Mus musculus: one gene and its partners. The protein of the gene in region 1 purifies or fractionates together with the protein of each later gene. This does not show direct contact. Links are inferred from orthologs where the notes say so. Each region holds a gene or a part of one and is shown in the gene's direction. Other genes may lie near its edges. The genes, in order: Dnajb6, Bag3, Mlf2 and Bag2.

Evidence for each region.
Region 2: the proteins of Dnajb6 (region 1) and Bag3 purify together in Homo sapiens (co-immunoprecipitation; 3 studies listed by BioGRID and IntAct, with this or other methods). This does not show direct contact. The link is inferred for Mus musculus from reciprocal best matches to the Homo sapiens genes DNAJB6 and BAG3.
Region 3: the proteins of Dnajb6 (region 1) and Mlf2 purify together in Homo sapiens (affinity purification with mass spectrometry; 3 studies listed by BioGRID and IntAct, with this or other methods). This does not show direct contact. The link is inferred for Mus musculus from reciprocal best matches to the Homo sapiens genes DNAJB6 and MLF2.
Region 4: the proteins of Dnajb6 (region 1) and Bag2 purify together in Homo sapiens (affinity purification with mass spectrometry; 4 studies listed by BioGRID and IntAct, with this or other methods). This does not show direct contact. The link is inferred for Mus musculus from reciprocal best matches to the Homo sapiens genes DNAJB6 and BAG2.

Annotation. Positions count from the first base shown.
Region 1 is NC_000071.6:29,747,170-29,754,236, forward strand, and holds part of Dnajb6 (dnaJ homolog subfamily B member 6), read left to right. Parts: intron 1-1,175; 5' UTR 1,176-1,201; coding exon 1,202-1,266; intron 1,267-3,768; coding exon 3,769-3,878; intron 3,879-5,227; coding exon 5,228-5,290; intron 5,291-6,372; coding exon 6,373-6,483; exon of another isoform or gene 6,484-7,067. UniProt on the Homo sapiens protein: Has a stimulatory effect on the ATPase activity of HSP70 in a dose-dependent and time-dependent manner and hence acts as a co-chaperone of HSP70. Plays an indispensable role in the organization of KRT8/KRT18 filaments.
Region 2 is NC_000073.6:128,520,699-128,528,400, forward strand, and holds the start of Bag3 (BAG family molecular chaperone regulator 3), read left to right. Parts: upstream 1-2,884; 5' UTR 2,885-3,160; coding exon 3,161-3,346; intron 3,347-7,702. UniProt on the Homo sapiens protein: Co-chaperone and adapter protein that connects different classes of molecular chaperones including heat shock proteins 70 (HSP70s), e.g. HSPA1A/HSP70 or HSPA8/HSC70, and small heat shock proteins (sHSPs), e.g. HSPB8.
Region 3 is NC_000072.6:124,927,864-124,935,671, forward strand, and holds the start of Mlf2 (myeloid leukemia factor 2), read left to right. Parts: upstream 1-3,524; 5' UTR 3,525-3,723; intron 3,724-4,235; 5' UTR 4,236-4,263; coding exon 4,264-4,313; intron 4,314-4,547; coding exon 4,548-4,674; intron 4,675-4,913; coding exon 4,914-4,949; intron 4,950-6,090; coding exon 6,091-6,144; intron 6,145-6,427; coding exon 6,428-6,556; intron 6,557-6,722; coding exon 6,723-6,882; intron 6,883-7,369; coding exon 7,370-7,557; 3' UTR 7,558-7,582; intron 7,583-7,738; exon of another isoform or gene 7,739-7,759; 3' UTR 7,760-7,808.
Region 4 is NC_000067.6:33,752,857-33,760,622, reverse strand, and holds the start of Bag2 (BAG family molecular chaperone regulator 2), read left to right. Parts: upstream 1-2,872; 5' UTR 2,873-2,931; coding exon 2,932-3,044; intron 3,045-3,056; exon of another isoform or gene 3,057-3,218; intron 3,219-7,766. UniProt on the Homo sapiens protein: Co-chaperone for HSP70 and HSC70 chaperone proteins. Acts as a nucleotide-exchange factor (NEF) promoting the release of ADP from the HSP70 and HSC70 proteins thereby triggering client/substrate protein release.

The DNA of each region.
Region 1 (7,067 bases):
AAAAATCAAAACAAAACAAAATAAAAAAACAACAAAAAAACTCACCTCAATTTGGAAAGTAGAGATGCTATACAAATGGGATATTTGAGGTTTGGGAAATGGCTAAGTTAGTACCCCCACAGCATTAAGATTAAAGACATGCCACGAATCAGGTTTTATTTTGTGGGCATGTGCGTGCACTCATAGACAAGAAGAGGGCATTAGATTAATTACCTGGAGTTGGAGTGAGAACTGGGAAGCAAACTGTAAAGCATGAGTTTTTAACCACAGGCCTTTAGTCTTACCTCTGTAGAGTGACCAAGTGATTTAGACACTGTTAAATGAAAGCACATTATTTAGAGAACAGTAAGACCACATATCAGGTAGTTAGAAGCCGAATGGTTTCCTTGTGCTGCTCTGTGGAGACAGGTGAAGCCGTGCTCTGTCCCTGGATTTCAGCTAAAGAATTACTCTAGTCTGCATGATAGTATTAGATAGAGCAGTGTTGTGTTGGTTTGGTAGTTGGGTGCTGGACAGAGAGGTTATTTATATAAGACTGGTCAACTATATTTTTCCCTTTCTTGTGAGTAACTTAATGCAACAGCCGATGCCATTCCCATGAGAGAGCCATGGTGCTGAGGCCGACATGCTTCTCAGGCAGAGCTAGTGTGTGTTCATCTTTGTAATCTTGCCTAATACCTGGTGCAGAAATTCATCAGGGAGGGAAGTAACCAAATCTCCCCAAATGCATTGTGGTCTAGGAAAGCAGATGTAGCCAGTCCTTTGGTCAGGTGGCACCTGATCTCTGCCTCAGAGACCAGTGACCTGTTTATATACTATTATGTCATTTCCAAGCATTTTTTTCCTTGATAGATTTGGGGATGCCTCTCCCCCCATTTCTCTGTAGGCCTGGCTGTCCTGAACTTGCCCTGTAGACCAGGTTGGCATAGAAATCAGATCTGCCTGCGTTTTGCATCTCTAGTACTTCGAGTAAAGGTGTGCCCCACCACATGGACGGGAAATGATTCTTGAACCCAGTTTCTGGACAAAAGTCCTGCCTAAGATACAGGCTAGTGACTGGCTACCAGAAGTTCTCTCTGGGCCAGTAGGTGCTGAGAAGGAACCGACTCTCATCCTTCCTCTTGTTTTTCACTCATTGGGCAGTGTTATCATGGGCTGTATTTTTTTATTTGCAGGATTTATTCCAACAGTCAGTTAAAACATGGTGGATTACTATGAAGTGCTGGGCGTGCAGAGACATGCCTCACCTGAGGACATTAAAAAGGCGTAAGTGATTCTATTTCTGAGTTGATAATTCTGTACTGTGGTTCATTGGTAATTGGATAATGTAAAAATTAGGTTTATTTTATGTGTGAATGATTTGCTTGCCTGCATGTATATGTGTGCTCAGTGTTCAAGGAAGAGAGGAGAGTATATGATCTCCTAGAAATGACTTTATAGGTAGTTGCAAATCACCATGTGGGTGCCGGGAATCAAACTTAGGATCTCAGTAAGAGCAACAGGTTCTCTCAAACCCTGAACAAGGCACCCACCCTGTACTGGGATCTAATCTAAGAGACTCATACATGATAGGCAGACACCAGTTTACTGCCCAACACAGACCTAAAGTGGCTTTCAACCCTATGGTTTAGTTCTAGGTTAAAGTGCTAACATTTGTGATCAGACCTGGGGATCATTGGGCATTCTATCTAGTTGGTGATCTTTAGGTTCCTATGAAGAAAGACCCACTCAGTCTTAAAAAATGAGGTAGATGATTCTTCTCTCTTTTTTTTTTTTGTTTGTTTTTTTTTTGTTTGTTTGTTTGTTTGTTTTTCGAGACAGGGTTTCTCTGTATAGCCCTGGCTGTCTTGGAACTCACTTTGTAGACCAGGCTGGCCTAGAACTCAGAAATCCGCCTGCCTCTGCCTCCCGAGTGCTGGGATTAAAGGCGTGCGCCACCACGCCCGGCTGAGGTAGATGATTCTTAGGGTTGACCTGGCTTAGCTTTCACACGCATACATAAACATATTTGTGCACACACACACAAACACATACATCCCCCAAACTTGACAACTTATACTATGTCCCAAAATAGAAATATTAATATTGCCCTTGTGTGCTAGAGGTCCTGGGTTCTCTCTGCAGTTCCTTGTACTATCTATATTTACTTTGTGATAATTTATATTCTGCCTCTCCATGGTGTTTCTGAATTCCAACATAGGCCTGTTGTCTCCACTAAACTATATCTGTAGCTCTTCACCATTATTACTATTTTTCACCATTATTTTTTAAATTGTTGGTATACACTGGGTACTGGTGGCACATTCCTGTAATCATTGTACTAGGAGGCAGAGGCATGCAGATCTTGGTGACTTTGAGACCAGCCTGCCTGGTCTACAAAGTGAATCCAAGACAACCAGGATTCTGTTACACAGAGGGTTGGTGTGTAGCCAGGGGCATACATAACCAGTTGAGTCTTAGTGTTCTAGTTTATTTCTGTTGCTGTGATGAAATACCCAAAAGAAACAGTAGTTAAGGGGTTTATCATGATAGAGGTCAGGTCATATATTCATCACTGTGGAGAAGTCATGGCAGAAGCTTTATACAGCTAGTTACATTATATCTACTATAGTTAAGATTAATGAATGTGTAGATGGCTGTGTTCTTGCTTGTGCTCAGCTTGATTTCTTTGCAGTTTAGTGGTGCTGTCTACGGAATGGTGCTGTACTTAATTTTCCCACATCAGCCTCCTTGAGACCATTCTCCAAGTGATTCTAGGTTGTGTCAAGTTAACGATTACAGTTAACATCACTTCTGGGTTTTCATATGCTCCTTATAAGGTTTAATCAGGACACTGGATACTTGTTTTAATTCCAGTATTGGACATAACTTCCTCTAATGTTATGCTTTAGATTAAAGTTGTGTACATACTAGGTGCCCTATCACTGGCCATACTCTAGCCACAGAAGTTGATATTTCAATTTTGTTTAGACATTAAATCTACAATAGGTAGCTATTTAAATGTTACTAGGAGTCTGGCTTGTGCTATGGGAGATGTTCTTTATATTGATAAGTGGAATATTGGGATGGCTGGGAAAAATAGAAACATGAGGGAATTTATTTAAGTTGTATCTGTTTGGCTCAGAGGGCAAGGATTTGTCGACATTCTGTACATGCTTCACCTGATCACCAGAGCCTATAATTTGGACATTTGGATCATCCCACATACATGTTTTCAAACCAATCTTGCCAATTTCTGCTAGTATCCGAAATTAGAACTTGCTTATTTCATTCTCAAGAAAAGGTGGATTGCTAAGATATTCTTATACCTAATGGTGTAGCCATTTTCTGCTTAAGGGTAGGTGGTTTTTGGTGTTTTTTTTTGTTTTTTTTGTTTTTTTTGTTTTTTTTGTTTTTTTTGTTTTTCGTTTTCTTTTTTTTGTTTTTTTCTTTTTTTTTTTTTTTTTTTGGTTTTTTGAGACAGGGTTTCTCTGTGTAGCCCTGGCTGTCCTGGAACTCACTCTGTAGACCAGGCTGGCCTCGAATTCAGAGATCCACCTGCCTCTGCCTCCCGAGTGCTGGAATTAAAGGCATGGGCCACCACACCCGGCTTCGTTTTCTTTCTTTTTTTTTTTTAATTTTTTGAGACAGGGTTTTTACTGTGTAGCCATCTCAACTCTCAGACCCATTGCTAGAATTAAAGATGTGCTACTCCCTCAGCTAGCTGTTAGGTATTAAAATTCCATGGACTTCATATGTACTCATTATACACCCTTTTTATCTTTCAAGGTATCGAAAACAGGCACTTAAATGGCACCCGGACAAAAATCCTGAAAATAAAGAAGAAGCAGAGCGGAAGTTCAAACAAGTAGCTGAGGCATATGAAGTGTTATCGGATGGTAAGTAAACCTGAGCTCGTGAAGGGCTCTGAGAGTGCATTAGAACAGGGCTTCCTAGAGAGCACAGACACAAAATTTGTTTGCTCCTAGCTAGAGTGTTCCTTCTTCCCTAAAGTTTTAATTTTCTTGTGTACTTTGTATCTGGTACATCTAACCATGGGTGCTGAAGAGCTAGAGTTATAGGCCATGAGCTGTAGACATGTTCTACTGCAGCAGAGTATTGTTAATGGAGTTTTACCTACTTGCACAAGGAAGAGATGCTCCAATTTAGATTTTGACTGACAGACAGGCAGACACACACACACACACACACACACATATCTACCCACCCCACTCTGGGTCTAGATCATAGACATTAGATGCCTCTGTGAAGGTTTTTTGCAGTTTGATGAAGGGTTGGCTGTCAGCTAGGGGCAGCCATCAAATTTGAGTTTGTGGTAAAGGGAAGATTTTGCACCTACAAGGCTGGGAACAGTGCCAGAGACTGGAATAGTACTGCCCACACCCTAAGCACTATCCTGCTGGGTGGCCTGGCATGAGTCAAGCTAGAGGCATTTAAAAGGTTAGGTACTGATTGACTGATGATAGGAAATAATAGGTCACTGTCTTTAAAAAATCTATTTCTAGAAGGAACCTGATCTAAAACTCAATGAGACAGCTTATTGGCATATAGCTCCTTGCATTATGAATACTCTATAAGTCTACCTTCTCCCAGTTTTAAAAACAACCCTTGAAACTTGACAAATATCAATTTCTTTTTTCAATTAATGAAGACATCGCTAGCTGAAAAACTGCAAATGTGCCAAGGTCTTAATACAGTTTGAGCTTTTGAGCTCTAGTGGCTGGAGCCTGGGCTTCAGAGCTTATGTTCTTACAAGGCGGCTTCTTAGTCAAGATGGGGTTGTTCTTCACTTTTGTTTCCCCTGTTGTAGAATATAACATAAGATTTTGGGGGAAGACAGAGTGATGTGGCAGCCGTGCTGTGTCTGTCCTAGAAGCACAAAGGCAGCAAGCAGGGTTCACGCATACCAGCGTAGCACCTGTGAGCCAAGTGAGTGGTCAACTCAGCAAGCAGATCCTGAGTCTGAGCCTGTGTAAATGTAGTACAGGCCTGGCTCCTTTTATGGTATATGCTTATCCACTTCCCATTCTACCAGGGCTTAACATCCACCCCCTGAACTTTGTTGTAAATATTTGTAGCAGTTATAATTAAGTTTGCCAGTTCAGGAGACCTTCCTCCTCTTAAAGTTGAGGGCCTTCGAAATGGATGTAGATTTATAATGGGAAATACTGAATTTTGAGGGTTTGAAAACAAGAACTTACTCATACTGTTTTTCTCACATTTAAAGCTAAAAAGCGGGACATCTACGACAAATATGGCAAAGAAGGATTAAATGGTGGTGGAGGAGGAGGTATGTCAATTTTCTTTTTGGAGACAAAAGGTCTTGGACAAGTTTACATAAATTTTTTCAGTTCTTAAAGTTGTTTGTTTTCGAGACCGGGTTTCTCTGTGTTTTCCAGGGTTTCTTCACTGTCCTGGAACTCACTTTGTAGACCAGGCTGGCCTCAAACTCAGAAATCCACCTCTCTCTGCCTCCCGAGTGCTGGGAACAAAGTGCTGCGCCACCACTGCTTCCGCGTAGTTCTTATGATTTGTACCTGATAGTCAACAGGGATTTGCCTTGAAAGTGTTGAGTTTGTGTAAATGAGGAGAAATAAACATTTAAACATTTAATAAAAATAAACCTGCTTGTTGATCAGGCATGGTGGTACATGCTGAAAATCCTAGCACCTTAGGGGCTAAGGTAGTGTAGTGCCTGTGAGTTGAAAGCCTGCCTGGTGGGTTTTAGATCACTCTATATGATTGTGATTCTTCTGCAGTAAGTCTGCCTCCTTAAAGGATTAAAAATAATTAAAATATATAAAAACTGAACCAAAAGAGAATTTGACAGGAACTTTGAGTTTAAGGCCAGCCTGCTTTGCATAGTGAGGACCTGCTTCAATAAAAGGGAGGGGGGAGAACCAACTACACATTTGTCAGGTTAGGAGAAGTAAGTGGAGATGTCTGCTCTGATAAGATAACCTTACTATGCTTTTAGCAGTGACATTGCCTATTGTGTGGAAATGGTGCTCAGGAGATGAGCTGCCTCATCTTAAAAGGCTTGCTGGGATCTAATATTGTACCTATGGGGAAATTGGTGGAGTCAATATTCTTGGCTTTCATAAGCCTTTATAATTCATGACAAAAACAGTGGACAGTGATTTGATTATGTTAAAGCATCATTGCAGACAGAGACTGAAAAATTCATAGGCCTTAGAGATCTGAGCACTCATGTGGTCAAATGCTAGGCAAATAAGACTCTTGGGCTTTTAGAATCCCAGATGTGTGGAATATGTTCTCTCTCAGACCATGAAATATACAGTAATTTATGAATAAACAGTTGCTTTGAAATATCAGAATTCATAAGCTAAACACTTTATTGTGCTTGTATAGGTGGAATTCATTTTGACAGTCCATTTGAGTTTGGCTTCACATTCCGGAACCCAGATGATGTCTTCAGGGAATTTTTTGGTGGAAGGGACCCATTTTCATTTGACTTCTTTGGTAAGTACCTGCCTGGTCCGTCCTTTGGTCTGGCCTAGTGAGGGCTGATGGTACCATGTTAAATGTTTGCATTTAACATTTTGTTGTGTTACTGAACTCTTGTCTTTTTGGACTAGTGGAGTCGTCAGGCATTTCCTGCCAACCTTTTCAGAGTTTTTTGATTGGTGACTTCAGCAATAAAGATTTTAGGGCATTATTTCCCTCTTCCATGTGTATTATTCTATCCTAGTTAATTTGTTTTTGCTCTCTGGTGAATTCATGGTTGGGACAGGATAAGATGTTGGAAATCTGATCTTAAACATTTATTTCTTGCTTTTGATACTCAGGATTTGAAACCAGGATCTTGGATATACTGACATCTTTAGTATTCACCTACTTCCACTCTACAAGCTAGTTTATTAGTGAGTTTGCGAAACGCACTAAATATCATAGATGCTGGTCCAGAACACACACATGAGTTCCATAAACACACCTTTTCTAACTGTTATTGTAGTCCACTTTAGCGTGTGAAGAAAGGATGCATCTAGAACAAGGCAGATGGCATTCTGATAGCAGCTGTTGGAATTTGGGAAAGTAGATTCTCC
Region 2 (7,702 bases), on another chromosome or scaffold:
TGCCTGGAAGTCAGTCTTCAACCTTCCGATGAAGATGTAGAACTCTCAGCTACTCTTGCACCATGCCTACCTGGATGCTGCCATGCTCCTGCCTTGATGATAATGGACTGAACCTCTGAACCTGTAAGCCAGCCCCCATTGAATGTTGTCCTTAGGAGAGTTGCCTTGGTCATGGTGTCAGTAAAACTCTAACTAAGACAGTTGAATATGGGGTGTCTCAGAAGAAAGGTTGGCCTTGAACAAGGTGGTTTCTGTCACTTAGGCTAATCCCAGAAAACAAGGTTGGTCTACATGAAGGTGAGCATGTTAGTAAACATTTTAAAGCCTATTTCTTCATCCACACAGATTTTAGTAAAAATTCCTGTCTTGTTGGGTGTAGTGGTGCACACCTTTAATCCCGTCACTCAGGAGACGGGGGCAGTCAGATCTCATCAGGTTTGAGAGCATAGTCTATGTATCACATTCCAGGACAGCCGGAGCTACATAGAAAGACTCTTATCTCAAAACAGCAACAACAACGAAATGTCTGTGTTCCTTTGGCACTGCCGACAGAGAAACGGGACACGTCCTCACCGCTTCTCACAGTATTCCCGGCAGTGGGTAGAACCAACTTTTCATGCCTAAACGGAAATGTAAGCGGCACATCATGGCTTCCACCACAAAGATCAAATGTGAGAGCCCACGTAAAGTCATTAACGTAGCACCTGACAGCGATTACCCAATAAGCACTAGCCATTATGAGTGTTGTTTTTAATAATTATTATTTACCACACACTGTGCTGGAGGATGGGGACACGGTGGTGATCAAGATCCTGCTCCTGCTCTTAAAAACTCAGCCCATTAAGTAAATCAAACAAACAAGCATTTACAGTGTAAAGCAATTGGTAGGGTGGGACAGGATGTGGATGGTCAGAGGACTAATGGGGGGGCAGCAGGATGTGTGTATGTGTGTGTGTGTGTGTGTGTGTGTGTGTGTGAAGGAGTGTATGCTAAAGGGAATGCTGGGAAAAGCCAAGCTGCCCAGGAGATGATGGTTGGAGTGGATAGAAGGGTTTCCATCCTGGTGGTGGAAGCAGTGTGTGCAAGATACAGTTCAGCAGGGTCAGCTGAAGTATGGACCAGGGAAAATGAGGAATACACCTTTGTGCACCAGACCAAGGAGAGTGGACTTGGTGGGTGCTTGAAAAGGCCTCTCTGGCTGCTATATGGGCAAGAGGTTTAGAGGCAAGCCCAAAGGCTGAAGAACCCATTAGGGTGCTGTGAAGGATCCAGGTGAAAGCGTAAGATGGCTGGGACGGAAGAAAGAGAAGAGTCACAGAGTCAAGAAATACTTAGCAAGATAGGAATGGATGGTAGGAACGAAGGGGCAATTTGAGGACAAAGTGGGGGTGCGGGAGAGATGACTTAAGAGCATTTGCTACTCTTATAGAGGACCAGGTTCAGTTCCCACAAGGAAGCTATAAACATCTATAACTACAGTTTCAGGGCATGCAATACCCTCTTTGGACCTCGGAAGGCATTGCACAAGCCGGCTCATACATATAAAATAAATCTTTATTTATTTTTTTTAAATATTTTTTAAATAGGGCATTGCTAGGCGTAGTAGATGGTAGTGTGCACCTTTAATCTCAATACTTGGGAGGCAGAACTATATAGATAGACCATATCTTTAAAAAAATATCCACAGCCAAGCAGTGGTGACACATGCCCTTGATCCCAGCACTTGGGAGGCAGAGAGATGGATCTCTGTGAGTTCAAGGTCAGCCTGGTCTACATAATTAGCTAGTTCTAGGACAGCCAAAACTACACAAAGATACCTTGTATTGAAAAACAAGCGAAAAAATTCACTTTGTATTCAGTCTTCAATAAACATCAATCTTTATTCCTTTATTGAAGATGGACTCTGGATTTAGCCACGTGCTGGGTGGGTTCAGGTATAAAGAAGCAAAAGACAGACACTGACCAGTGAGTGAATCTAAGTGTCTAGACCTTTCAATGTGACTATCAAATGATAATAAGTCAATATTCCCACATTTGGGCTTATACAGGTGTGTTTGGTGGCACCAGGCAGTACCTGAAGGCTAACTATGTTAATACTTATACTGAGGCTTTGAGACTTCAAAGTCAGTAAGAAGGTCTTTGGAAGTAAAAAAAATCAGCTTGTTGGAAATGTCTGGCAGAGTCCTCTAGTATTTGCCACAGAGTAAAAATCGGAGGGGAAGAGGCCAGAGATGTATCTTTGAAGGTCCCAGGACATTCTCTGAATCTGAGTCAGGAAATTGGCCTCAGTATTGGTTCCAGGTGTTTCTGAAGTCTAGTCACTGTGCGAAAGTGCCTATATAGAAGGCCAAGAGCACAAAGTTGTCACTTTAGTCCTTGCTTCTTCAGTTTTCCAAAGCAGGCAGGTGAGTTTCCACAGCTCTTTCTTTTTGTTGTGACCTCAGATCAGCATTCCAGAATTTCTCAGAAGTCATAAGGCCCTTGAGAAAAAGTTACTAAAAACGTCACTGCAGGACGCCAGCGTCACTGAGTGTGAAGAGAGAGAAAGAACTAGACTTTCCGAGTTTAAAGATGATTTAGTCCTTACACAAAGGTGGGGCCCCAGGTGTCGGCCCTTGGACTGCTAACCCCGGGACACCCCCACGCGGCACGAAAGAGTGGTGGGGAGTCCGGAGACAGAAACCAGCCAGAGAGCACAAGGACACCGGTGCGTGTCAACCTGGCGCGAGGCGCACAGGCCCCAGGACACACACAGGACAGGGATAGGGAGGGACAGCCTGGGTAGTCTAGGAGAAGGAGGGGCGGGTGACAAATCCCCGCCTCCGATCCCTCCCAAGGTCCCGCCCCGCCGCGATTATAGCCTATGACTCAGGGCGGAGCTCCGCATCCAACCCACGGCGGCCGCCAAGTTCTCTGGATGGGACCAGAAGTTTCTAGCCGGCCAGTTGCTGCCTTCTCTTTATCTCCTCCTTCCCCTTTGGCAGCTAGGAGGCTATTTCCAGACACTTCCACCCCTCTTCGGCCACGTCACCCAGTCCTTTAATTCATAAAGGTGCCCGGCGCCGGCTTCCCGGACACATCGGCTACACAGAGGTGCCCGCACTCCACGACCTCGTGACCCGCGCCCTAGCTCTGCGCCCCGGGCGGACCCTAACCCAGCATGAGCGCCGCCACCCAATCGCCCATGATGCAGATGGCGTCCGGCAACGGAGCCAGCGACCGAGACCCCCTGCCCCCGGGCTGGGAGATCAAAATCGACCCGCAGACCGGCTGGCCCTTCTTCGTGGACCACAACAGCCGCACCACGACGTGGAACGACCCGCGTGTGCCCCCCGAGGGCCCTAAGGTGAGTGGAGCTTGCCGTCCCACCTCGACGGCGAAGGGGCCTGGTCGAGCCAGGGCTATGCGAGTCACCCCACCCCGCGCCCTGCTGCGCAAGGAGAGTCCTTAACCATATCCGCCTCGAACGGGCGTCGGGCCGCAGAGAGCCGCAGGCAGGGTGGCCTTGGACGGTAGCCAGCGGGGTGCGACCCGCGTGGTGACATCGGGTGGTTTTCCACAGCCTCTTGCGAAGGGCGAAGGGCAGTGGTGGCCTGAGCTGCGGTGCGCCGCGTCCCAGGGAAGGGCGACCGGCCTGATGAGCGGCTGAGGCCCAGGCCAGGCCCGGCCGCCGCCTCTCTGTCCCGCGCGTCCCGTGCTGAGACCCTGGGCTCCCTCCGGTGCTGATGGCGCACGGCCAGGATTGAAAGGCTGCTGAGTGGAGTCTCCTGTGGGGATTTCACTTTCAAATTCAGAACTTAGTTGAGGCTTATCTTGAGTTTACTGGATCTTAGGCATAGAGTGACTCAGGAGGCTCGAGTAAATAAGTTATTTTCCCCCATTAAACTTATTATTACTGGTCGAAACTGCTTTCAGTTAGAGAAAATTCTGATACTACCACTATTTTTTTTTAAGATACTCTTTCTGACAGTTCCAAAACTAAAGATCAGACATTGTATCACCATACTTAGCCACTGCCTTAAGACTCACACTGGAGTGAAAGAATGTATTTTTAATGGCGTGATTCCTTGTTGTCCTTTTCAAATACTGGAGTTTTGTTACCAGAAACAGCTGAGGAGTCTGGTGAACACTAGGTGTATGCTTCATTTGCATAGATATTCAGGTTTGTGTACTTCAATCTAAAAAGCAAGAAAAATTGAAAATACAAATTTGGAATGAAGCCCAGCCTGGTTCAGGCCTGTCATCCCAGCACCCAGGAAGCTGTGGCGAGAGGATCTTGAGTTCAAGTCTAGCCAGGGCTATATAATCGGAGTCTATCTCAAAAGTTATTAAGTAATTAAGTTGGAATGAAACTAGCCTGTGTTGCAAAATAAGACCTTGTCTTTTTTTATAAAAAAAAAGAAAAAAAAGATTGAGCTGGGCAGTTGTGGCACACCTCTTTAATCCCAGCACTTGAGAGGCAGAAGCAGGCAGATTTCTGAGTTCAAGGCCAGTCTGGTCTACAGAGTTCCAGGACAGCCAGGGCTACACAGAGAAACCCGATCTCGAAAAACCAATAAAATAAAATAAAAATAAATAAAAATTCGATTGAATTTTGAGTGAAGAACTTAAAAATACAAATTTAGGTAGGATTTTTCTTGTTTGTTTTGTTTTTCTTTTTTTAAAATTAGATATTTTTTTATTTACATTTCAAATTTTATTCCTTTCCTCATTTCCCCTCCGAAAACCCCCCTATCTCATTCCCCCCCTCCCTGCTCATTACCCCACTCACTCCCGCTTCCCTGTCCTGGCATTCCCCTACGCTGGAGCACAGAGCCTTCATAAGACCAAGGGCCTCTCATTGATTTCCCACAAGGCCATCCTCTGCTACATATTGGGCTGGAGCCTTGAGTCCCTCCATGTGTACTCTTTGGTTGGTGGTTTAGTCCCTGGGAGCTCTGGGGGTAGTGGTTGGTTCATATTGTTGTTCCTCCTATGGGGCTGCAAACCCCTTCAGCTCCTTGGGTTGCTTTGCTTTTCAAGACAGGGTTTCTCTGTGTAGTGTTGGCTGACCTGGAACTCACAGAGATCCTCCTGCCTCTGCTTTCTGAGGCATGAGCCACCACCATCCGGCCACGTAGGATCTTTGAAAATATAGTTAACAGAAGTCATATTTAGCATAATGTTCAGTAATAATTTATGTACATTTGGTCCTTTCAAAATGAAAAGTTTGGTAAAGTAAATGCACTTTAAAATAGGACTCTATCATCAATGGGAGGAGAGGCCCTTGGTCCCGTGAAGGTTCTATGCCTCAGTATAGGGGAAGGCCAGGGCCAGGAAGCAGGAGTGGATGGGTTGGTGAGCAGGGGGAGGGGGGAGGGGATGGGAGTTTTCAGAGGGGAAACTAGGAAAGGGGATAACATTTGAAATGTAAATAAAGAAAATATCTAATTAAAAAAGGAAAAAAGAAAAAAAAAAATAGGACTCTACTTTGGGCCTGACCTGGTGGTACACAGCTTTAATCCCAGCTCTCAGAGGCAGAGGCAGGTGGATCTCTGAGTTCAAGGCCAGCTTAGTCAATAGAGAAATGTTGCCTCAAACAAACAAAACAAAACAAGAAGAAATACTCTTAACTTATTACTTTCTGGAAAAAAATAAAAGCAGTAAAGAGTTTATAAATTGTTTGGTATTTTCAAAAACTCACCCAATTAAAAATGCTTTATAAATCATTAACTTAGAAAATTCTAGTTTTCTTTTTATGTGTATGGTGCAAGGGATTGAACCCAGGGCCTTGAGAACTTCAGGCAAACATTTTCCTTATAACTATTGCTACAACTTTAGTATCCAGCAGTGAGCCACATACTTGGCAGTTTACATTTACAAGAAACTAATTGTATATTTATTTCTGGAAATTATTACTACAAGAGGCTGTAATTTGGGGTGGACATAATTGCATGTATCTTTGTGTGTGTGTGTGTGTCTATTTCATACATTATTGGGTAAAAGATTCTCTTTTGAAACTAGCCGTCTTCAGACTGCATAGGGAATAGAAGCCATATAATGTGTGGTATGTTTTGAGGCCTCCTTCCTCTGGCTACAGGCACAGTCTCCGCCCTCTGACACCCGTCACTGGGAGTGAAGATCAAGTTTGAGCCTATACATGCTGGTACTTAGCCAGCACGCTGGGATTTGCTCCAGCCACTAGGTAGCTACTAGGTAGACTAAGTTTCCTAAATCTGCTCGAGATTAAAAAAACCAAAAGGAATTTAACACTGCTCTTATCAAGCAGAAAGTGCGAAATATTAAATCAAGATGTCTTGGGCTTGGAAAAAAATATTTCACCATTATAGTTTTAAACTTGAAAGATCCTTAACAGTGTCCCCTTCCTTCTGTGTGAGGAAATGTAGAAAATTTAAGTGTCTTCCTGAAGGTCACCCATCCAGCACCAATAGCGGGTGTGTGTGTGTGTGTGTGTGTGTGTGTGTGTGTGTGTGTGTGTCAAGTGGACCGACCAGTTAGAAGAGACTGTGCCTGTTCAGAAGTCAGCAGTGGCTTAATTTTTAGGAAGCCGACCCGGACCCGTGCTGACCTGTGCTGTGCTAGCCTGAATTTTGATGGTAGGCTGAGACTAACTCAGGAGAAGGGTGTCCTTCTCCAGATTCATTACTTAAGATAGACTTGCCAGCTTGGTACCAAAGCACAAATAGAAAATGAGCATTTCTGGGGAAGAATCAAATCCCTCAAGCTGTTGCTTGCTTTGAGTCTGGGCTTCACTGCTTGTTTTGTTTTGTTTTGTTTTGTTTTGTTTTGTTTTGTTTTGTTTTGTTTTGTTTTTCAAGACAGGGTTTCTCTGTATAGCCCGGGCTGGCCTGGAACTCACTCTGTAGACCAGGCTGGCCTCGAACTCAGAAATCCGCCTGCCTCTGCCTCCCAAGTGCTGGGATTAAAGGCGTGCGCCACCACACCAGGCTGCTTCACTGCTTTTAAATCCATGCGTTGGTTGTCATAGAACATCCCTGTGACCGGGGCAGGCCAACAACTGGGAAGACCTTTAATATTTTTTGGGTGATTTTGGTTTTGTTTGTTTGTTGGGACAGGGTTTCTCTGTGTCGTCCTGGCTATCCCTGAACTCTGTAGATCAGGCTGGCCTCGAACTCAGAGATCCACCTATCTTTCTGCCTTCCAAGTGCTGGGATTAAAGGCGTCTGTCACCACTGCCTGACCACCTTTATAGTTTATATTAGAAATAGTCTTCTTTATTTTTATGTATGTGTCTGCCCGTGTGTACCTGTGTTAGTTAGCTTCCTTGGAGCTGGAGTTATAGGGGTTGTGAGCCAACTTGTGAATGCTGGGACTCAGACTCAGTCAGGTCCTTTTGAAGGACAGAAAGCACTCCTAAATGCTGAGCCATCACTCTAGCCCCTGAAATAAGCGTAAGGAGAAAGCCTCTGCCTCTAAAACAAAGGCCTATCTGGGAGGAGCTAAGAGACCCTCAGAGTATCCCCCCTTGCCTAGGGGATGCTGTCAGTCAATAAAGAGCCCTTTGATGAGTTGGGATGCCTGTGAAACCCTCTGGATGTTTACAGTCAGAGATGACAAAGATGAGTCCCTTTCAGAAAGTAGGAAATCACCAGCCCTTGGTGCTGTAGTCAGTCCTAAGCTCTAGGAGTTGACTTTCGTTTTCTCTCATGTGGTTATAGCAAATCTTCTACCGCTGGTTTTA
Region 3 (7,808 bases), on another chromosome or scaffold:
ACACACACACAATACACACACACACATACACACACACATACACACACACATACACACACACACACAATACACACACATACACACACACACACACACACACACATACACACACACACACACACACACAGAGGCATGCAAAGATAAAATGGAATGGTATGAGATTCTTAAGGTTTTCTGTTTGCTATCTTTTCTGACATCATCTCACATAGAGACTTGCTATGTATCTCTGGGATTACAGATTTATATCTAACAACATGGCAACATCCTTACAGTCTGAGAGAAGGAAGAGAAAGGACTTAAAGAAAGGAGACAGGACAGCAAATAACAGACAGAAAAAGAAACCTGGAGATATAGCTTGCCACGGCGGCACCCAACTAGAATCCTTGTAGCCAGGAAGCTAAGGCAGAGTTACCATTAGTTCAAGTGGTCCAGCCTGGGCTATATAGCAAAAACCTATGTCAAAACAAACGCAACACACAGGCAAGGAGACTAAAAGACCACACCTCAAGGTGGCAGGGGCTGTCTTAGCCTTGTCTGTCTGTTTAATACACTAGACCCAGCACAGAGCACGTGCTCATTAAACAGCTGTTGAGTGGCCAAGCAATGTAGAACTTGCTTTGATGGCCAGGTAGGGAGCATATACCTTTAGTCCCAGAGCTACATAGTGAGAGTGTGGGAGACTTGCTTTCAAAAGAGACAAGAAAAAAGAACATTTGTGTAGGATATCTTTAAGTGTAGGTGGCAGAATGCTCATTGAAGTAACATTCTTTTGTTTTGTTTGTTTTTTCAAGACGAGTTTTCTTTTCTTTTTTAAATATTATTTGTTTCTGTTTATACAAATACACTGTAACTGTCTTCAGACACACCAGAAGAGTGCATTAGATCCCATTACAGATGGTTGTGAGCCACCATGTGGTTGCTGGGATTAGAACTCAGGACCTCTGGAAGAGCAGTCAGTGCTCTTAACTGCTGAGCCATCTCCCCAGCCTGCTACATCCACTCCAGTAGTGACAAGCGCGACAGGCCCCAAAAACCTGGGTGCTGTCCCGAGGCGAAAAGTTCATGGAAACTTAGTCTCCTGGAACCTTGGCATCCTGTATAACGAATGCTCCAATGTCCTTGCTTTAGTTGGTGAACAGATCTGTGTGCTTTCCCTTAATATTCCTTTATTACAAGTGCTCCTAAGGATTGATATTTTGACATATAGCTAAGTTAGATTCTAGGCAGTTATTGATCCGACCTTGGGCATGGATAGCTAAGTCACTGCCTTACACAGGAATTTACCATTATCTAGGAAGAAGTAAGTTTGTGATCCAAGGAGGAACCAGAGTAGATACTTAGAACTATAGATAGCTGAGTTACACCCATACACAAGTATTTACAATGGCCTAGGGGGAAGGTGGACTATATTATAGACTAGAGAAGGATGTAGCCTTGGCTGTCCCAGCTCTCCGGAGCTTGATTGCTCTTCTCCTCCCCCTTGCTCCCCTCCCATACCAGGCTGACCTCAAACACCGAGATCCACCTGCCTCTGCCTCCTGAATGCTGGGATTAAAGGTCACCACTGGCCAAAGTAACCCTTTTATATAACCAGATTTATTTTTATTTTCTATGTATTTTTGCCTATAGGTGTGTACAATGTGTACACAATCCCTCTAGAGGCCCAAAGAGGGCATTGGATAGCCTGGAACTGGGGTTTTACCGATTGATGATTGAGAGTCACAAAGTGGGTCCTGGAACAAGGTCCTCTGCAAGGTAGCAAGCTCCTTTTTCAGATTTATTTTCCGTGTAGATGTGTGCCAGTATGCCAGGTGTGTACACACCCTTGATTTCTGCAGTGCATGTTAGAGCTGCTGGAGCTGCAACTCTGCAGCCATCCTGGGTTGCTCTGGAATAGCAGCAAGCTTTATTTATTTATTTTTTAAATTTTATGCTTTTGGGTTTTTTGTTTGTTTGTTTTTAATTTTATGCTTTTGTTTTTCTTCTAGATAAGCTATGTAGCCCAAGTCAGCTTCTAACTCACAGAGATCATCCTTTTTCTGCCTCCCTCCCAGTGCCCCACCAACCAGCAGGCATGTTTAGCCACTGAGCTGGCTCTGCAGCTCTGAGGTACTCTGGATGGAATGTCAAAGTGCTTTTCTTTAGAGCAAGAAGAAAGGACAATTGTCGGGTGGGATACCAAGAGGCATTTAAAGAAGGTCTTATATATCAAATATCAATGAAAAACACATTTTCTCCTTTTTTTTTTTTTTTTTGGCTTCACTTTGCCAATCTGTCAGCTTACGTTAACTATATCACTGTTTCTTCTCTTAGCACTATTTTTTTCCCACTAGCAATGATCAAATCGAAAGAAGCTGAGAGTCTCTGCTCCCAATCTTTTCCTGAGTAACCACTGACCCTTTTCCCTCAGGGAGTTGGTTAGAATAAACCTTTCTCTTCAGATCAGGTTCCACACGGTACCAATGTGGCTGACAGCCAGAGTAAAGAACTTGGGACAGTTTTGAGTTTGGATCTCTGTGGGTCAAAGTCTACCCAATACAGTTCAAATCCTCTGACCCAAAGGGGAGGGCTCTTCTCTCCAGCTCAGCCAGATTTTGTGCAAGACAATTAGTATGTCAAAATACCAGTCTCTGGCTTTGGAGTCAGCCCTCTTGGGCTTACTTTTTAGCTCCACCCCTGGGTGATTCTGCTTAATTTAGCTCTCCACCCCTTTATTCTTCTAAACTTTAGTCCCTTGACCTATCTACCTGCTCAGAACAAAGAAAGTTTTAAAGACCTACGACCTAAAGGAACTGGACTATAGCTTAGTGGTAGGGCATGTGCTTGGTATGCCCAAGGTCCTGAGTTGGGTCCTGAGCACTAAAACCAAAACCAAAAAACGACAACAAAAAGCAAACAGACTTCAGAACTAACGCCTTTGCCCAGGCCAACCCTTCACAGACAGGTCCTGGAGTGGTCCAGAAGCCTAAGCCAACACCGAGTCCTAAGGAGCTAAGGATCCAGCCCGGCCCAGGATCGCCCTCTGGCGGCCAAACTCCCAACCTGGATTCCCTTCCCTGGTTGGCCTTTTCCAAGGCTTAACTAGACCTGAGCTAAATTGTCACCTCCTTCTCTGCGTCACTCGGAGGACACCGCCCGCCCGAGCGTCTCTCCAGAGGGACAGGCCCACGCGCTCCCCTGGTTAAGCGCCCCTCCTGCAGTGTGTTTAAAGGTCCCCGCAGGGATCCGCCCCACCGATCGCCCCCAGACAGCCCGCCTCTCCCCCCCCCCCCCCGCAAAAAAGGTGCGGCACACCCTGCCCCCACGTTGCGCTCAGCCGGTCCCTCCCGATTCCGCTCCGCCCCCCCCCACCTTTGCAGGAGCCTCTTCCTGTCCCCAGATCCCCGAGCCAGCTTAATGACACCTCCCACCCGCCCCAGAGGACCCGCCCTCCGGGGCTCCACGGCGCGCGCGCCGCCCTCCCTCCCAAGCAGGTGGGCGGAGCTCCCGCAGCCCGCCCCCGGGGCCGTCCGTCGTGACGTCACTTCCGTTCGGGCCTGACCGAAGATCGGCTTCTCGGGCCGAGGGCGGGGGTACGGAGGTGGCAGGCGAAGGCAGGAGGCGGTGCGGGAGGCGAGAAGCTGCCGCGCGGACCAATCCTTGCGTCCCGGGCCGCGACCCTGCTCCTGCAGCGCCCCGAGGAGAGGCCGGCCGGATGGGCCGCTGAGCCGGAGTCGGGGACCGGTGAGGCCAGGGCGCCGCGGCCCGCACGGCTGCAGGGATGCGATCCCGGGAGTGGACCTTCCTCTCCGGCTCGCCCGGCGGGAGGCACGGGCTGGGGCAGTGGCGGCCCGGATCGGTGGGCAGTGAGGCCTGCCCGGGGAGGCCTGGTAGCGCCCAGTGCCAGCAGAAGGCGGAGTAGTTGGGGGTCATTAATGGGGTGGCGGGCCGCCGTTCGAGATTCTCATCGAGTCTGGCGTCGGAGGAGGAGCTGACCGTGGCTCGGGGAAGAGAGGATGGCGGGCGGGGGTGGAGGGGCACCACTAAGAGGCTTGGGAAAAATTCCATGACCGGCTTGGAGAGCTGCTGGCTCTCAGGTCTCATAGGTTATATGGCTCACCTGGCGAAGGATCTTCCCTGGAGTTTGGAGGGGTCAGTGATAGTGTATGCAAGAGGCAGCCTTAAGAGTAGCAACACTGAGCTGGTGTGCATAAGCCTGGCCGCCTGCAGGAAACACAGCCTCCGTATCTTCACAGTGTGGAGCCCCCTGGAGCTGAGATCACGATGTTCCGCTTCATGAGGGACGTGGAGCCTGAGGATCCCATGTTCCTGATGTGAGAATTCCCTCCCCCTCGCGCCCTCAGCCCATTCGGATTCAGGTCTGAGCAGTTCAGGCAGACCTTTGAGTTGGTTCCCTTGGCTGGAACCAGTTAGAATTAGCTGGATACTCAGCTGCCGCTCTCAGAGGGAAGCCGGCATCCGTGCCACTGTGTACCCTGACTTCATTTCGGGGAGGTGAAGAAGGCTGGGGGTTAATCTGCCTTCTATAGTGTATGCTCACTCCGCAGGGACCCCTTCGCAATTCACCGTCAGCACATGAGCCGCATGTTGTCAGGCGGCTTTGGATATAGCCCCTTCCTGAGCATCACAGATGGTAACATGCCAGCAACCAGGCCTGCCAGCCGCAGGATGCAGGTAACAGTTGGAACATATCGAGACCTGGGGTGATTAGTTAAGTATGCTGCAGTTCTTGCCCTACAACCAGCTTTAAAGGGACATGACCTGCGTGGGAGGCAGACGAGTGGGGTCAGGAGTCTGGGAAAGGGGCTGTGTGACTCCTGTGGAAAGAAGGAAGGGGGGAACGGAGGCACTGACCTCCTTTGGTACATACAGTTGGTAGGGTGTAGTTCTAACTTCAGTTTCTCGTCTTGTAGGCTGGGGCTGTCTCTCCCTTCGGGATGTTGGGAATGGTGAGTCCCTGTCTTCTCTTCCTGTATCTCTTGCACAAGTGCATACACTCACGTGCGCGCGCGCACACACACACACACACACACACACACACACACACACACACCCCTTAAATGTTATTTCCAAATGCACCACTCTGGTGGTCTTAAAAATCTTCTCTTTGGATAGTTGACATGGTTCAGAGCCCATTGACTATAAGTTAAGGAGCTAGGGCTGCAGAAATGGCTCCCGAGTTAAGAGCACCTGGCTGTTCTTCCAGACAACCAGGGTTTGATTCCCAGCACCCACATGGCAGCTCACAACTGTCTGTATTTGTAGTCTTAGGGCATCTGATGCCATCTTCTGTTCTCCACCGTCATTGCATGAATGTAGAGAGCAGACGTACATGCAGACAAAACACTCATACACAGAAAGATAATAACTAGAACACTCAAATGCTACTGACACTCAGAAGTTCTTAATCACTGGGGAAAGTAAAAATGTACAGCGGTTCTTTTGAGGAGGGAAAGTTTGGGGTTCTTTTACAGCTCTAAATATTCAGAGGGGTTTTTTGGTTTTTTTTTGTTTTTTTTTTTTTTTGTTTTTTTTTTTTTTTTTTTTTTTGAGACCAAGTTTCTCTATAACAGTCCTGGCTGTCCTGGAACTCACTCTGTAAACCAGGCTGCCCTCAAACTCAGCTCTGTTTACCTCTGCCTCTCAGTGCTGGGTTAAAGGCAAGCCCTGTCAATCAACATTTAGCGTGATCAGAGGTTTTAATTCATTGCCTTTGGGTCACTTCCTTAAAGATCGGGATGAGCTGGGTGTGGTGGCGAACGCCTTTAATCCCAGCACTCTGGAGGCAGAGGCAGGCGGATTTCTGAGTTCCGAGGCCAGCCTGGTCTACAGAGTGAGTTCCTGGACAGCCAGGGCTACACAGAGAAACCCTGTCTCAAAAAAAACCAAATTTAAAAAAAAAAAAAAAAGATTGGGACGGCAGGCAGGAGAAGCATTAGGGCGGTCACAGAGCCGGAGAAGGTAGCCAGCAGTTCATGGGGAGGAACTTGAGTGGTCAGGCTAGATGTAAGAAGGAAAAGGGGTCTGTCCTCAGGTGAGTGGCTGGCCCCAAACCGCTGACTAGTCTTCTGGACTCTCATCTTTCCCCAGTCCGGCGGTTTCATGGACATGTTTGGGATGATGAACGACATGATCGGGAACATGGTATGACTTGCCCCATAGTCTTCCCCTGCCTTGATCTCCGTAGCAGCCAACATGGTTGGGGGTGTGGGGTGAGCTAGTGACTAAGTTGAGTCAGAGCACCAGGGGTCCTGTGTTTGTTCTTAGACCCATGAGTGATTACGTATGCTAGTGTTGGGCCTGAGGAATCGGGGCGGTTGTGATGCGAGTTTCCCATCCTCACGTATTTTGAGGAAGATGTAGCAAGAGCCAGCAGCTGAAGGGAGCTCCCTTCTGCAGAGTAGGCCCTCATTCAGTCCCTCCTCAGGAGCACATGGCTGCAGGGGGCAACTGCCAGACCTTCTCCTCCTCCACTGTTATCTCCTACTCCAACACTGGGGACGGCGCGCCCAAGGTTTACCAGGAGACGTCGGAGATGCGCTCTGCCCCAGGCGGGGTGAGTAAGGAACCCCTCTATCTCAGAGGAGGTAGGATGGATCGGCATCCACAGGAACCAGGGTCATCTGTTTTCAGGACTGGGTCGTGGGTGGCTGGTTCGTCCCGGGGAGATGTAGCCAGGGCTTTGTGGGGAGAAGTGAATGAGCCTATTCACCTCGTCCCAGATCCGGGAGACACGGAGGACTGTCCGGGACTCAGACAGTGGTCTAGAGCAGATGTCCATTGGGCATCACATTCGGGATAGGGCTCACATCCTCCAGCGCTCCCGAAACCACCGCACAGGGGACCAGGAAGAGCGGCAGGACTACATCAACCTGGATGAAAGTGAGTGAGCCTGTCTTCTTCTGGGCAGCAGTCCCTGAGCTAGTTGCTGTAGACTGGAGCATAGCTTTCTCTACCATCCCACAGGTATCTCAGGCAGAGCTGTGGGTGAGCCCTGTGCTTAGGCTCTGTTGCCAGCTTCAGGGCTGAGTCAGGTGTTGCCAGGGAGGGGGCAGAGCTTGACTGACGTCAGGTGCTGATGGTTGTAGTTTCCTCTATCGGGATTGGTGGCTTTTCTTTTCCACCCTTTACTTTGTCTTTCTCAAATGAGTGCTTTATTAGCTTTCGTGATGTATAACTCCAGTAATTGTGCCTCCCCATGGTGTGTAACCCCAGTAGTTGTGCCTCAGGCTTGCCAGTGGCATCCAGGAACTGTGTTGAAGCTAAGATGGCTCCCAACCCCCATTCTCCCATGCATGATCTCAACCTTTGCCCTGGTTTCTGATCTCAGAATACTGTGGCTTCCATGGCTGCTCTCTGTCCTCTTTAGGTGAGGCAGCAGCATTTGATGATGAATGGAGAAGGGAGACATCCCGATACAGACAGCAGCGTCCTCTGGAATTTCGACGGCATGAGGCATCTGTGGGTGGGGGGCGAAGGGCTGAGGGGCCTCCCCGCCTGGCGATCCAGGGACCTGAGGACTCCCCCTCCCGACAGTCCCGTCGTTATGACTGGTGAAGGCCCCAGGCTCTCAGCTTCTCATGTAAGTGCCTGAGAGGGAATAGTGGGAATGTGACAGACCAGAGGAGGCTGGCTGGCAGATCAATGTAGTTAAGCTGTCGTGGGACAGGAGACTTGCTCCTTCTGAGTGGCTGGAAGATGCTCCTGACCCCAGACTTCTGTGTCCTTTCTCTGACAGGCTCATCTTTCCTTCCTCCAGGTGCAGGCTGAGCGGCTGAGTAACCATCCTTGAAATGACTGTCCTTTCC
Region 4 (7,766 bases), on another chromosome or scaffold:
GTTTTTAAGTTGTTGTCACTGTGCATCCCTAGCTGCTTTGACATTTTATGTTAAGGTGTCAAGCAAGGCCATTAAAGGTGCTCCTCAGACCTTAAAGACACTTGCAGGAGTTTGCTAAATAGCAAAATGGGCTTCCCTGAAAGACGTGGAGCTCATCTAAGCACAGTGTGTAGCGACCGTCTCTGAGGGAGCTTCAGGGTTAAGAATGTGGCTCAGCGGCTGCACAGCACGCACATCATTTTGAGCTGAACACCGTGGTTTGGCAAGGGTATTTGAGAGACTACTAAGAAGAGGCCATGTCATCATCACTAACTGCTTTTCTCTCACTAAGTCACGTAAAATGTTAGAAAACTGCTTTGTAATTTAAACAGGAGTCATTAATAGCAAAGTTGTACATTACTATCACAAGTATATTTGTAATATTGATATTTTCATTCCATTATTAATTCATCTTTTCGCAAGTTATTGTGAATCTACCATGTGAGAGCAATTGCTTGAAGTACCTGAGATGTGACCGTGATCTTGAGCGCTCCTGCTCTATTGCTCTACTGCTCTGACATGGAGAGTGGGCTATATGGACAGTATTAGACAATAAGTAAGCAGATAAAACTATTGGCCGGGCAGTGGTGGCACACGCCTTTAATCCCAGCACTCGGGAGGCAGAGGCAGGCAGATTTCTGAGTTCCAGGCCAGTCTGGTCTATAGAGTGAGTTCCAGGACAGCCAGGGCTACACAGAGAAACCCTGTCTCAGAAAACAAACAAAACCAGAAAAACCAAAAACATTCCATATCTGTTGGGTGACGTGCCGACTGAAGAAGGGAGGGTAATGTACAGGGTTGGGACTGAGCTTACTGCAGCTCTGGGGATCATCAAATCTGGGGCAGCATCTTGCTGTGCAGCCTAGGTTAGCCTCCAGCTTGCTGGAATTACAGATAGCCACCACTGGGCTCAACTCAGAAGACATGTTTAACATCCAGGGAAATTTTCACTGGTAAATGAGCTTAAGCAAAGAGTCGAAAGAGCCATGTGAAAAGCTTACAAGATGGCCCCTGACTTTGAGAGATGCTGCCTTGTTTACCCTGATGAGCCACTGGAGGTTTGGGAGAGCTTATGGTACAGCCTACTGTGCTTGAATGCTGTGTTGATGGGAGAGGCTCTTTAAGACACATGTGAGAGAGCACACGGGGCTCTGCAGTCATCCAGGTAAGGACGAGTCGGTGGGATCAAGGAGGATTCTGAAGGTAGAACTGGTACCTATTCATGGATTGTATCTAGGATACAAGAGTGAAAGAGCCCAGGGTGATTCTAGGCTAGGTGACTAAAGATTACCTGTTTTGCTGATTGTGAAGCCAAACTAGGCACCGCCAGGATGCAAAAGACAAAGATTTGCAACCTGCACCAGGCAGGAAGAGTTCCAGAGCCATTACCAAAGCAAAGCTCTCCACAAGCTCAGGTAGCACTGAGGGATTTTTTTTTTTTTTCTTTCAGGAATCCTGTACATATTCATGAAGGAACATGCCTATTCCAAAGCATGCTCAGTTTAAAGTCATAATTTATATAAGGAAAAGAGCATAGGCGTGTCATTAGACAGGAGCATATCCGTAGTAACTTAGACTGGAGATGCCTCTGTGCGTGTTCAACGTGTGGAGACATTTAAACAAACATATGAAGATCCCTGCCATTTTAGTTACTTTCCTACTGCTGTGATAAAACACCTCCACCAAGACAACTTGTAAAAGAAAGCATTTAATTGGACTTAGATACAGAGGGTCTGAGTCTATGATGGCTGCAGAGACATGTCCTGAGCACTCAGATCTCAAACCCAAGCAGAGGCAGAGAGACACTGGGAATAGCTTGGTCTTCTGAAACCTGCCCACGGGGAGTGATACACTTCCTTCAGCAAGGCCACACCCAGGCCTCCCCAGTGTTCAAGTGCTAGAGAGCACAGATGGCATCTCATTCAAACCACCACATCTGCCTGGCCTCGTTGCCAACCTAACAGAGCTATGTCTGCGGCCACTTTTATTTTTCCTTTGACACTTGCTGAAGCTACCCAGCCTAGCCTTGAATCCACCCTGGCCCACGTTACACAACTTGTCAGCCTCCAGAGGAGCATTAGACCTGAGACCTGCCCAAGTTCAGACTTTCAAGATGTCCACAAAATGTTCAGATTTCACGGTTGTATCGTGAGATGACAGTGTTTAATGAAGCCAAGATAATCCACCGTTTATTAGTATTAAGATGTGTTCGGGGTGTGGTGGGGACAGGATTAGAAACTGTACTTAAGGGGCTTGTCTCTGTTCAGTAATCTAATGGCTTTGAGTTCTGGGTAAAGGATGTAAATGTACTTTGTTTCCCATTTTCTGTACCCTGTACACTGAGAGGACAAAACACAACTTTAAGATGCGGCTTCGTATTTCAGACCTACTGACCTCTGCAGCTTCTGACATCTAAGCCTACTGAATATCATTCGCAGAGGGTTTAAACAAGTTATGTGTGATAGTAATAATCCTTTCATTGGAAAGGGGAGACAACACGGATCCACTTGGCTTCTCCTTATTTGGAGCCTGTGGTCTAGGCTTTCCCTGTCCTCTCCCGAGCCTGCCTGGTCACCGGACAGGTCGAACAAGTAGAGACTGCCCTAGGGTGCACTGGATTGTCTCCTCTTCTCACGGGCTGCACCCACTTCGTCCTTGCTGTGAACCGTGGGTGCTGGGAGGACCGGCCGAGGCCCTGGGCGCCGGGGCAGGGTCCCCCACCCTGGCGTGCCCGCGGCTGCGACCGCGCCTGCCCTTGTTTGGCCGCACGGCCTCGGGGGTGGAGAGCCGGGGAGGTGGGGGCGGTGCCGTCCGCGTCAGCGGCGCCCGTGGTGACGGCGACGTGCGGCTCGCGCCACTGCTGCCCGCGGACGCCGAGGACCCCCGGAGCTCATGGCCCAGGCGAAGATCAGCGCCAAGGCCCACGAGGGCCGCTTCTGCCGCTCGTCTTCCATGGCCGACCGCTCCAGCCGCCTGCTGGAGAGTCTGGACCAGCTGGAGCTCAGGTGAGGGCCGCGGGGCGCGCACAGGGGCGAGCGCGGGCGGGGGCGCGCTCCGGTTGGGCTCCCCTCCCCCGGCCCGGCAGACTGGCGAGCGAGTGCGGCTTGCAGAACTTCCAGAATCTTCTGCGCGGTCCCCCTCTGCCTTTAACTTTTCTGCTTCCAGGAGGGAGGCAGCAGGTTGGTGTGCCCCCCCCCCCCTCACCCCACACTGGAGTAAGTTTCTTTGCCCCAGATCACTTCATAGTAATACAAGTGTAAGGGAGGGGGGGGTGGTAGTATCCAGGACGGCCCCTCCTGGGGATCATCGAGAATCGGACTCATGAGAGACCGCGCGAGGTACACCGAAGTTGGATACCATCCTTCATTCTCTCAACCACGTGCAATGCCCTCTGCAGTCTGTCCGTGTTTGTTGTACATTTAGAAGACACGGCTGACACCTTGGAAGTGCCAATCGCAGGCCCGAAAACACCAAAGGCAGGAGTCACACTCTCCCTAAGATTCTGACACGGGGACAGCCTTGTCGTAAAATTTCTAACTCATGAATACTACTAACGAATGCTGTGAACACTTGGTTGGCTTTAACCACGTGAGCCTTATGTATCTGGTGGAAATGTTAATGTCTTCAAAGTTGTGCAAGTTTTGATCATGTGCAGGTGTTCCATGAAAATCTTATCAAGATGCCCTGACACACACGTTGTTCCCTAGTTTTCTCCGGGTTCTGCGTAAGCAGAACACTATGACCCAAAATTATAAGAGGGAGATGAATCTCCCTCCACGCAGCCACCAAACACAGGGAAGTGTGTCTGCACAGGAAAAAAAAAATGCAAGCAGTGTTCGTTACACGGGAGGCGCTCATTACTGTTACTATTAGGAGAAAAGAGCCAGAAGGTGAGAAAACTTTCACTGACTGTGGAGTAGCCACAAAAGAAACCTGAACCCTATATCCCCCAACTCCGGGAGACAAAGGGACCTGCGCTGTGAAAGGGGGCGAGAATGTTTCCTTGTGCGAGGTAGGCTCTAACCTTTGACAGTATATTCCCAACTGCTCCGATTTTTTTTCTTGAAAGGGTTCAGGAAGTTGTGACTCTTCAAGCTGAGTCATTGTTCTGAACCTTTACTTAATCAAGCCTGTGTGCCGAGTCCTTGCTCTTCTCCTGGGGGCCTCTTGAAAGTCTGGAGTTTGCATAGACATTCTAGTGTCTGATTACTATCAAAGGAATCCTGACTACCAAACATAAGCGATTAAATTACGTTACTTATTAACAGTTGCGCTGAAGGGGTTTTATTTCTGTGTTTAATGGTTCAAGGCCTTTACCAGTAACTGCAGAGTTCTGTAAGTCTTGTTTCTCCCTTAAAAATGTAATGAGCACTTAGAAGTAAGTGTGTCAGAAGGGGCAAAGAAATAGAAAGAGATGCTGCCTGGTAAGGCTTAGGGGCCCTTTTTAGAAGCCATCTGGACAGTGCCACAGAGCATGACAGTATTCAAAATTAGACTTTTTAAAAATGGGGACGATGCTCCTGTGACTTCCCCCTAGCTTTCTTAGTGTACACGTCTGAGGACAACAGTGGACGGGGTACTACCGGAAATCACTGGATTGTCGCCAGTGCGCATCTTCCATTCAGGTGAATGGGTTCTGTGAACAGCAAAAGCCTGCTCCCTTGTAAGACTGAAACCACACCCAAGGCTTTCTGTCCTGCAGGATGCACTGATCTTCCGGGCATTGAAAATGCTTTTAAATGTTTAGCCCAGTTTTACAAGCTGGTAAAGGGTGCCATTGGTTTTTAATGGCTTATAATATTACAATTAAAAACATTTTTACATTAAAATATCCTTACATTAAAAAAAATTTTTTTTTTACTACATCTCCTTTCCTGTGGTGCTTTCTCTAAAAAGATAATCCTGTCCTTTCCTGATTTTCATGACCAGTTCTATGGGGACTCTGCACATGCTGAGGCTAAATACTGTACTTTTCAGTGGTTGTAAATAATCCACGTTAGCATTAGTCTGTAGGCTAGGCCGCGTGTCTCTGTGGGAGTTACCGTTATCTGTATTGTACAGATGAGAACTTGAAGCTCAGATATATACAGTGTGTCTCAGTCCAGAGCAGTGGACTTCGCCTAGGAACACGGGGAGACCGGCTGCTCAGACCAACACCATTTGTCCTGGTCTTGAATATCACTTTTCAAACTGTCCAGCTGATATATGAATGAATATGATTTTACTAAAGGAGGGGAAAATCGATTTAGCATTTGATTCAGTAAACCTTGAAGACCTAGAACGTGCCAGTTATCGAGTAGCTGCTCCGGGCCTGGGGTTTGGACATTGGCCAAGGAGGGATAAATGATTGACAGGGCTGGAAGGCTGGCTCTTTACACATCTCCCAAAACCGATCCCGCCCGCAGTGAGCAGCTCCTTTCCAGTTCACTCAGCCAGGAAAGGGTGACTGCCAGCGGGAGCCAGGGAAACGGGCCACCCGCCTGCTTTGGTTTCTTACTGTTTAAGGTTCCTGTTCGGATGCGCCAGTGTTCCAGGACCCACGAAGCAAGTTGACACCATACTTAATTTGGAGTAACAGTCTGTAATTTAGAAGGAACACTTTTCGTGTACACTGTAATTTCAACCACTGTAATTTCAACCTTATAAAGCCCCTGGGAAAGGAAGGCATTATCTTTTAGCAATGAGAGCGCTGGGCTGCGATGGGTCTTAATTGGAACGATGTTTGTTTAGCACATTCACAAACATAGGTTTGATCTCTGGCTTCAGAAAACCAGCATAGTGGTTCATGCCTGTAGCCCAAATCCTAGAGTTGTGAGGATTTGGTCATCCTGGGCTACATAAGGAGTTCTGGGTCAGCCTGGGACACATGAGACCCTGTCCGGGGATAGGGGTGGAAGAAACTGAGGGACTAGGTGCCTTGCCTTACTGGTTAGTGGTTCATTCACGCTGACAGTGAATGAAATACAAGCATTTTGATGACTGGGAAAACCAATTCCTGACAGTATCGGGATGCTGAGGGTCTCACATGGAGCCTGGTCTATGAGTTTAAGAATGTGTTTTAGAAAAAGCCCCCTTCGCATAAATCCACAGAGATGAGTGGCGGCCACCTCCCTGTTTATGAAAGCACGCAATTTTGTCATTGGCAAATGAGCCCGTGTTCATGACAGTACGTGCAGATTGGCCACTGTGAAACCGGCGTGTGCTGACGTCATAAGTATCGGTTGACTCGTGCTGAATTTCTCAGCCAGTTCGGTCAGTCACCTTGTTAAACTTCAATCCTGCTTTGCTTTGTTCGGCTCCAGCCGAGGTCTCCTTATATTTGGTGTCTGGTGGGGTGTGGAGGAGGAAATTTCCGCAAAATCAGCAGTAACTCCTCACACAGCTGGTGGTTGGCTTGCAGTTTTGTGCGCTGCTGTTTAGGGACGGCTGCCTGCACCTGACATTTTATACTTCCACCGCCACGGCAGGCTCAGGAGACACCTGAGGGCTGGGGACCAGATGAGGGTGCTCCAGCTTTATGCTTGTGAAAATTCTTTCTACAATACCTTTGCCAAAGCCTGCTTAAGGTGATGTGGAACTTTCTAGAAGCTCTGCCCAGTCAGCTGCTTTGTGAGGGTGTGTCCTTTCACATTTTGAACAGGTAACACACGTAGCTGCTCCCTGGATTCCAGTCCACACAGAACTGCCCCTTGCCAACAAGAGAAGAGTCATCGCTTGAGTGTATTAAGATTGTGTTTATATATGTCTGTCCCAGCTACTTGAGGAATGATAGAGAGGGAGGCAGGCAGTATTTAAGGATCAGTCACTAATCGCAAAGTAACGGGAAAGCTACGTAGGCAACTTTTTGTGAATCGAGTTTTAAGTACAGCAATAGCCGATAAACAGTGCGAATGGTCTTAAACAAGCCAAGCAGTGAAGAATGCTGACTTAGTAACCGTGAAGCCCTAGGTTCCATCACCAAGACTGATAAACCAGGCATGGGATATGTTTGTAAAACCAGCACTAGCGGGCAGAAGCTGATGAAGCAGCAGTTCAAGTGTGTTCCAAGCCAGCCTGGGATATAGGAGGTCCTGTCTCAAAAAAGAAGAGGTAGGGGTGTGTGTGTGTGTGTGTGTGTGTGTGTGTGTAAAACAAAACAGTGTTCTCCTGGCTAGTTTTAAAGAAAAGAACACAAGTTACAGCCATGTGGGAGAAAGAACTCTCAGTTGTGAAAATACCTATTAAGATCAAGCTGTAGGGGGCTGGAGAGATGGCTCAGCAGTTAAGAGCACTGGCTGTTCTTCCCTAGGTCCTGAGTTCAATTCCCAGCAACCACATGGTAGCTCACACCATCTGTAATGGGGTCTGATGCCCTCTTCTGGTATTTGGGCATACATGTGGATAGACACTCATACACTAAGTAAATAAATAAATAAATCATTAAAAAAAAAAAAGATCAAGCTGTAGGCAAGATCTTGACTTCCTAACACTGGAACCCTTTCATACAGTTCCTCGTGTTGTGATGTGTCCCCCAACCATCGACCTGTAGTTTTGCTACTGTTATGAATTGTAATGTCAATCTGCGTTCCCCAGTGATCTTAGAGGACCCCTGTGAAAGGGTTGTTTGATTCCCCAGAGGGGTTGTGACCCACAGGTTTAGACCAACTGACTGTGTTAGGTCTTTTTTTTTCGAGACAGGGTTTCTCTGTGTAGCCCTGGCTGTCCTGGAACTCACTCTGTAGACCAGG